Sus scrofa: one gene and its partner. The protein of the gene in region 1 interacts with the protein of each later gene in a pairwise test. Links are inferred from orthologs where the notes say so. Each region holds a gene or a part of one and is shown on either strand. Other genes may lie near its edges. The genes, in order: GAD1 and HAAO.

What was found.
Region 2: the proteins of GAD1 (region 1) and HAAO interact in a two-hybrid assay, tested with the Homo sapiens proteins (4 studies listed by BioGRID and IntAct). The two-hybrid records come from large-scale screens. The link is inferred for Sus scrofa from reciprocal best matches to the Homo sapiens genes GAD1 and HAAO.

The regions. Positions count from the first base shown.
Region 1 is NC_010457.5:76,990,377-76,994,735, forward strand, and holds the start of GAD1 (glutamate decarboxylase 1), read left to right. Parts: upstream 1-1,486; 5' UTR 1,487-1,650; intron 1,651-1,824; exon of another isoform or gene 1,825-1,873; coding exon of another isoform or gene 1,874-2,011; intron 2,012-2,271; exon of another isoform or gene 2,272-2,410; coding exon of another isoform or gene 2,411-2,425; intron 2,426-3,130; coding exon of another isoform or gene 3,131-3,193; coding exon 3,194-3,275; intron 3,276-4,359.
Region 2 is NC_010445.4:97,590,657-97,593,352, forward strand, and holds part of HAAO (3-hydroxyanthranilate 3,4-dioxygenase), read left to right. Parts: intron 1-488; coding exon 489-578; intron 579-899; coding exon 900-943; intron 944-1,208; coding exon 1,209-1,354; intron 1,355-2,696. UniProt on the Homo sapiens protein: Catalyzes the oxidative ring opening of 3-hydroxyanthranilate to 2-amino-3-carboxymuconate semialdehyde, which spontaneously cyclizes to quinolinate.

The DNA of each region.
Region 1 (4,359 bases):
ACTTCAAACCTCACAACGAGATCGCTCTTACTGATTGGACTATGTCTTCCCAGAGCAGAATCTTCTATCTTCTTTATGGAATTTTCTATGCTATGTAAGATTTTCAGCATTCCCACTGTGTCGTGGTGAAAGGCAATAAGACCTTCAGAAAGAAGGAACCGGCCTCTGGTGGACCTGCAAGGCCGCAGATGTATCCATAAATAACCCCTGCCTGCCGCACCGCGAAAGGAAAAAAAATTTTTTTTTACTGTGAAAATGAGTAAAGGAATCACTGGTTACACGGTGTCATCCAGACACAAAAATCGACTTTGGCCCTAAAGAAGAAGAAACTGAGGTAGAGCAAAGAGGAGAAGATAAATTAGAGACGAGAGGATGGATAGCTTGAAAAGGCCGGAGACTAACAGCCAGGCTAGCCCCTCCAGGTGTTGACTGTGGCACAGGAGAAAAGACCCGGCTAGCATAGGGCTCTCGGTCTCTGGCCTCCTGGCGCCATCTGGTGGAAAATGTTCCGTGAAAGCCTTTTTACAGTGAGGGGCTTTCCGAAAGCGGTAGTTCTTAAATATGTTTAAATATTGCAAAAGGAGAATCCTTAAAAATCGAAAGGGGGAGTGGAGAGAATTGGGCCTGAGCAGAGAGGGCCGGTCCGCTTCCCCTATCCCCGCCCCCGGGCCACCTCTCTGCTTGGGTTCCCCTTGTGTGTGGAGCTGCGCTCGTGCGTGTTATTAACCTTCAGATGTGATCAATCAGGAGGACTCCTTTCCCCATCACCAAGGGAACCAAAGCTAGGAGGGCGTGCCTAGTGGGTTGGAAACAGGACCCTTTTCTCTGCCAGTGGCACTGGGTAGCTGTGCTCAAGTCAAGTATTTCGAAAGGCTCTAACCTAGATGAGGAAACTGAAGTGAAAAGGAAACGTAGAGTCCTTTAGGGTCTGAGTGTTCCCCCCTCATCCCTGCCTCCTTCGCTTTTACAACAATCCTGGCTCCGTAAGTGAGCCAGCAAAGACACGACCCAGAGCGCTCTTTCGTTCAGGGAGGCATCGTGGGGTCGCAGAGCTGGGGAAACCTCAGGGGAAGAAATTGAGGCAAAGCAACTGCTCTTTTCTTCTCCAAGATATGGGAGTGGAGAAGAGCAAAAGGAGGGAGGAGCGCTCAGCGAGGCAGAATTATCTTTTCCGTCTCTTTACCCGATACTCTGCCTATTTCAAAAAACAGAGCGTGTTGAGTACGTTCTGGATTACTCATAAGGCTTTTTCTTTTCTTTTCTTTTCTTTTTTTTTTCCGGCGCAAACCCGTGATTTGGATTTATAATCGCCCTCTAAAGCTCCAGAGGCAGCAGGCACCTGCAAGGAGCCCCGCCGCTCTGCCGACGAGCTGCCCCCGCGAGCAGCGGCCTCGTGATTCCCCCGCCGAGCCGGCCCCCGCCTCCCCACTCCGCCCCCGCCTCCCCTGAAGCCCAGCAGCCGCCTCTCCGGATCGCTCTCTTCTCTTACTGGCGCTCGCGTGCGGGACGGTGCTACCAGGAGAGAGGCGGCAGCTGGAGGTGACGCCGGGCAGACTACGCCTGTGGCAGGGCCGGGCCCAAGCCAGGCAGATTGCTGGGCGCTACGCCGAAGAGCGACCGGAGCGCCCGGCTTGCTGTCGCCCAGCCTAGGTGGGTAAGCGCGCGGCCGCCGAATCTTCCCAGTGACTAGCCCGACTGTTCAGCTGGGTCCTCTTCACCCGCGCACGGTTTCTTGACCAGCCCCCACCTCCAGTGTCTGCCATCTGCCCTCCCGAGCAGAGTGCATCCTGCCTGCCCCAGTCCCGGCTCTCTGTTCTTGCGCAGCCCAGAGACCCCAGCCTTCGCAATCATCCTGTCCCCACCAGCGAGATTCATGCCCCGGGGACGCACAGAGGCTGAGGCTCGCACAGAAGTGGAGCGAGAGCGATTTTCCCCTCTGCTTCCCGGCTGCGAGCGCCGGTCTCACCAATGGGCTCCAGGCCAGCAGCAGCGGAAGGCGCGACTCCGAGCGGTAACCTGTTACTTCCCCAGATGCCGCGGTCTACCCGCTGCCCGGGTTGCAGTGCGAGTGCGCGCGTTGCGTTAGATGTGGGGTCCTTTGGAGGGTGTGGAAGCGGTGGCCAGCAGGCGCTACTCTGAAGCTCTTAGATCTACCCATATTCACTCGCACTCTGTCCCCTGGCCTTTGGCAGCCATCGCGCCAGCGTGGAGCGCAGAGCAGAGGCGTCGCGCACAGATCCCTGTCTACCGCCTCCAGCGCTCTGGGCGCAAGTTCGTTTCCCCAGTGACGTTCTCCTTTCTTGCCTCCCTCACCCTCTCCGGGTCTGTAGAGCGAGAAATCCGGGGACCTCAGAGACTTGGGTGGAGGAGAAATACAGAAAGCCAAACCGACCCTGTTCTTGGCTTCGAGATGGCTCAAAGCAGGGTGAGGCAAGAGGGGGGCAAGAGGGAGACAAGCAAGGTTCCTACTCGCTGCTTTCTGGCTGTCTGGACTACAAGGTGACTGTATTTCTTACCTGGCCAAGTCCGAGGGAGAACGTAAAGATACGGACCCTTTTTTCCTCTCACCTTGTCTCACCAAAGTCCCCGGTCCCCGCAGCAGTTAGCCTCCTTCTTTCCAGGGAATTAGCCAGACACAACAACGGGAACCAGACACCGAACCAGACGTGCCCGCCCCGTGCGCCATCCCCACCCCCCAACCTCCCCGCCTTCTCTCCGCGTGCTGCTGAAAGCCCAATAAGGCTTGTCGTGGCTAGGCTGGAAAATCGCGCTCTGAGCCTTCCTAGCCCTCCTAGCCGAGTCCCCCGCACCACCACCACCACCCCCGCCCCCGAGACCCGCACTGGCCTTGGGTTCCCCTCCAGGTCGCCCAGCCGCGCAGCCAGACTGGAGAGCCGCCCGGGGCTACGTTGTCCGCGCCCTAGTGTGTCCGAGCTAGCGCGCACTCCTCCCCTCCCCGTCCCCAGCCCAGCGCACCCTGACCTAGCCACAGGGGTAGCTGCCCTTCCTGTCGCCTCTTTCTCCTCAGCCTGGACTTCAGCAGGAGCGTCCGCGCCTCCCACGGCTCAGTCGCCTCCCGCTCACCGGACCCCGGAAGCCCTCCCCGCACAGCTTTCGCTTCTCTTTGCAGCCTGCTCCTGCACCCGACCGGCCGAGGACCCCGGACAGCAGAGGCCCTGGGACGACCGAGCTGATGGCGTCTTCGACCCCTTCTTCGTCCGCAACCTCCTCGAACGCGGGACCGGACCCCAATACTACCAACCTGCGCCCCACAAGTAGGTCCTGCCCCAGTTTCCTATGAAATGGACTGCGGGGAAGATGGGGGCGCTGGGACGTGAGGAGGCTGCGCCGGCGGAAAGGAAGGGAGAGCGCGGAGATGATGGAGGCTGAAAAGAAATGGGGCCCTGAGCCAGGTCCCCACCGGCCGTCGTCGTTAGACTGTCAGGAATGCTAGTCAGTTCCAGGGTGCTAAGAGAATGGGGAACCACGCAGGGTTCAAGCGGCGGTGATCCATGAGGCTCCGCTGCGAGGAGAAGGACGCGCGGAGAGTGTTGTTTTGTTGTGTAGTGTGTGATTTCTTTGCTAGGCGAGACGACGAGGGTCAGTGCACTCGGGTGGTGTGAGAAGCCAGGAGGCTCAACGGGAATAGAGAGTGTTTTTGTTTAGTGTGTGGTTTCTTTGCTAGGTGAGACGACGAGGGTCGGTGCACTGGGGTGGTGTGAGGAGCAGGGAGGCTCAATGGGAATACAGAGTTTTCTGTCGCCAGCTTTCGTTGATGCCTCCCTCCTCCTCCTCTCTCCCCTGCGTTGTGCTCGAAGTCTATAATCAGCGGAAATTTCGACGTTAATTGCAGCTTTTAGAAAACTCGGGGTCCCTAATTGCTCCAAATTTGCGTCGAGCTATTGACTGGTGAGGGAAAAGCCAGGGGCGAGAAAGGAGCATAAAATGGTTTGAGATTAAGCCTCGACATTTTAGACAATTAATTACATTTCAGAGACACACACAGAAAAGGAGCGGGCAGCATCCTGAGTGGCAAGAAGTAGGGGACCAGGAGGAGATCAGAAGGTTTGCCAGGGCAGGAGGAGAGAGCAATGCTTTCTTTGCTCTGGGGCAGAAGACTTGTCAACAATTGACATGTCCAGAAGAGAGAAGAAAAGGAGAACCTGATTAAAAAGGGGTGGGGAGATTTTTGCTTCCCCACCCTTAGCTCTGTGCAGCTCCTCAACCCGTATCCAGGATATCTTTAGTTCAGATTGATTTCCTACCTCTTCGTAGAGGCGCGGAGATGGGGGCGTTGTTTTCCTTTTTCCAATTTGAATGAAATGCGCTCCTCCATATATATGGCTCCGGACAGTAATG
Region 2 (2,696 bases), on another chromosome or scaffold:
GGGGGGTGGGGGGTATCTTCTGTTATCTTCTGCATGTTGGTTCCTTCTGGTCCCGTGTGCCTGGAGTGCCTGCAGGCAGGAGGAGGTGCAGCTGCATATCTGGATCAGGCTTAGCCTCAGCTGCTTCTTTTGGAAAAACACTTGTCACTGATGCTCTCTATGCTTCTAAGACTGTCTCGGGTCTGTCCTGCTTCTGCCACTTACAGGCTGTGTAACCCCTGCCAAGCTGCCCAGCTTATTTCTGAGCCTCAGAGCTCTAGCTACAAGCTTTGGGAACCAGGAAGCATGGGGTCGGTTGCCCTCCCACGATCGGGCGGCACAGGGAGAGCCAGGTGTGGGTAAGCACGCAGTGGCCACTAGGTTGCGCTAAGGGTCAGCTGTGCAGGGCCAGCAGGGGCCCTGACATCCACAAGCACATCCAGGCCTGAGGGAGGCTGCCCTGAGTCTGCCCAGATGGGGAGCTGGGTGCTCGTCCTTTGTTCTGGCAGGTACTACATCGGGGACACTACGGATGTCCTGTTTGAGAAGTGGTTCTACTGCGAGGACCTCGGCACACAGTTGGCCCCCATCATCCAAGAGTGAGCCCCCAGCCCAGCCCTACCCCTTGCTTTCCTGAGGCGCCACACTCTGACCCAGAGAGCAGACCCAGCTCAGCAGTGCTTCAAGGCAGCAGCTGCCAGCCCGAAGCCATCACACCCAGGATTAAGGGAGAAAGTCTACCACTCTGGGGGGGGGGGGGGGGGTGGAAGCCTGGAAGGAAGGGCTGGCAGATATACAGCCAATCCTGTGAGGACCCCGTGGGTGTGTTATGGGCTAGAATATATGAGTGTGTGTGTGTGTGTGTGTGTGTGTTCCTTTGTGCCTCACTAGCCTCTCCTCCTCCCCATTTGTCCCTGTAGGTTCTTCAGCTCTGAGCAGCACAGAACAGGAAAGCCCAACCCTGGTGAGGCCACTGGAACCACCCTCCCTCTCCCTCCCTCTTTTCCAGAGAAGGGTGGGTCTTGGCCCAGGGTACCGAGGAGTCTCCTTTGAAGTCCTCTGTCCAGTACTCAAGGCACAAGAAGATGGCACCAAATAGTGCCCCCACATGGCTGCTCCGTCCCAGAGCCCATTCCCACAATCGGGAGCTGGGACCCCTGGGAACTGGGCCCCCTGGGGTTGGGGGTCGGGGCCAGAGGACACTGACGGCAGCTGTGCTGTGGGTGCAGACCAGCTGCTCAAGGAACCGCCATTCCCCCTGAGCACACGGTCCGTCATGGAGCCCATGTCCCTGGAGGCCTGGCTGGCTGGCCACCGCAAGGAACTGCAGGCGGGCACACCACTCAGCCTGTTTGGGGACACCTATGAGACCCAGGTAATGCAGCCCTGGGCCACACAGGAACTAATCACATGGAGACACACGCACGCACACGCACACGCCAGTTTTGGAGATTGTAGACACAAGAACAGGCCTTCCTATTTCCTCCCTGATTCAGAGAATGAATGGCTTTGCTGTGAGTGGAAGCCCCTGGAGGCTACCTGGCCCCCAGCGATCTTTCTTTGCCTTCAGAGTGGGGGTTGCCCCATCCACAGATAGGTTCCTGGGGGTTAGGAGTCACCCCCCTGCCAGGACTTCTTGGGCCTTTGGCTAATCATAGCCTTAGAAAGAGATATTTGGGGGTGAGGGTTGGGTGGAAAATCACACAGAGACCCAAAACAAGCTGGCCTCCTTTCATTCCACAGTTAGTGAGTGCCTATTATGTTACAGGCTTTGGTAGCAAAATACGGTAGAGTCACTGCCTCAGAATGTACAGTGTGGTAAATGGACAAGTTAATCAGCAGCTGCCACAATCATGTGATAACGTTCTTTGGTAGAGAAACTACAGGAAGCCACTGGAGGATAGAGGAACCCAGCTGTGAGGAAAGTCAGGGAAGGCTTCCTGGAAGAGGCGATGTATGAGCTGAGTTTTAAAGCTCTTGTAGGAGTTTGCAAAGGGAAGAAAGAGAGAGAAAGCATTTTAGGTGAAGGAAAAGCCTGAGCAAAGGCCCACAGGCTTGAAACAGACTGACAATACAAATAGCTGAGGTTGGGAAACCAGAACAGGGGCAATGAGGCAGTGAGGGCAATGGCTAGATGGCCACAGTAGCAGACAGTGCCCAGGGGCTGGCAGCTCTCCTGGGCTGGATGAGGTGCAAGGGCTTATCCTTAAGACAGGAGTGCTTCACCCAAGTGACCAGGCTAGAGTGGTGCCTCACTGTAGCCCATGTGAGGACTGGATTAGGAGGGCCAGGGCCAATGTGGTGATGAGGAGACTCGCTCAGGGCTCAGTTCACCTGCAGTTTGCAGTTTGAGTTAGAGGCCCCAACGGAGGCGTGCTCACGGGATGCAGACCAGCCCCAAGAGGCCCTCACACCCCAGAGCTTACGCAGGGCTGTGAGAGCTGGCGGACCCACCCAGCAAGTCCCTCCCACCCCATGGCCCTGCCTGCCTCTTTTTCACACCCCTCCTCCTCCCTGCTTCCGTTTACTCCAGAAATATCTACTGAGTCCCACAGGCTCTGGGCCTGTGGAAGCGTGGCCTGCATAGCAGCTGTGGGCTTCTGGGCTGGTGCAGGTCAGAGCCGCTCAGCCTCCCTCTCCCTCCTCCCTCCTCCCCTCCCATCTCCCTCTTTAGGCCAGACTCCTGCCATCTCACGGAAGAAGGGAGGCGGGCATCC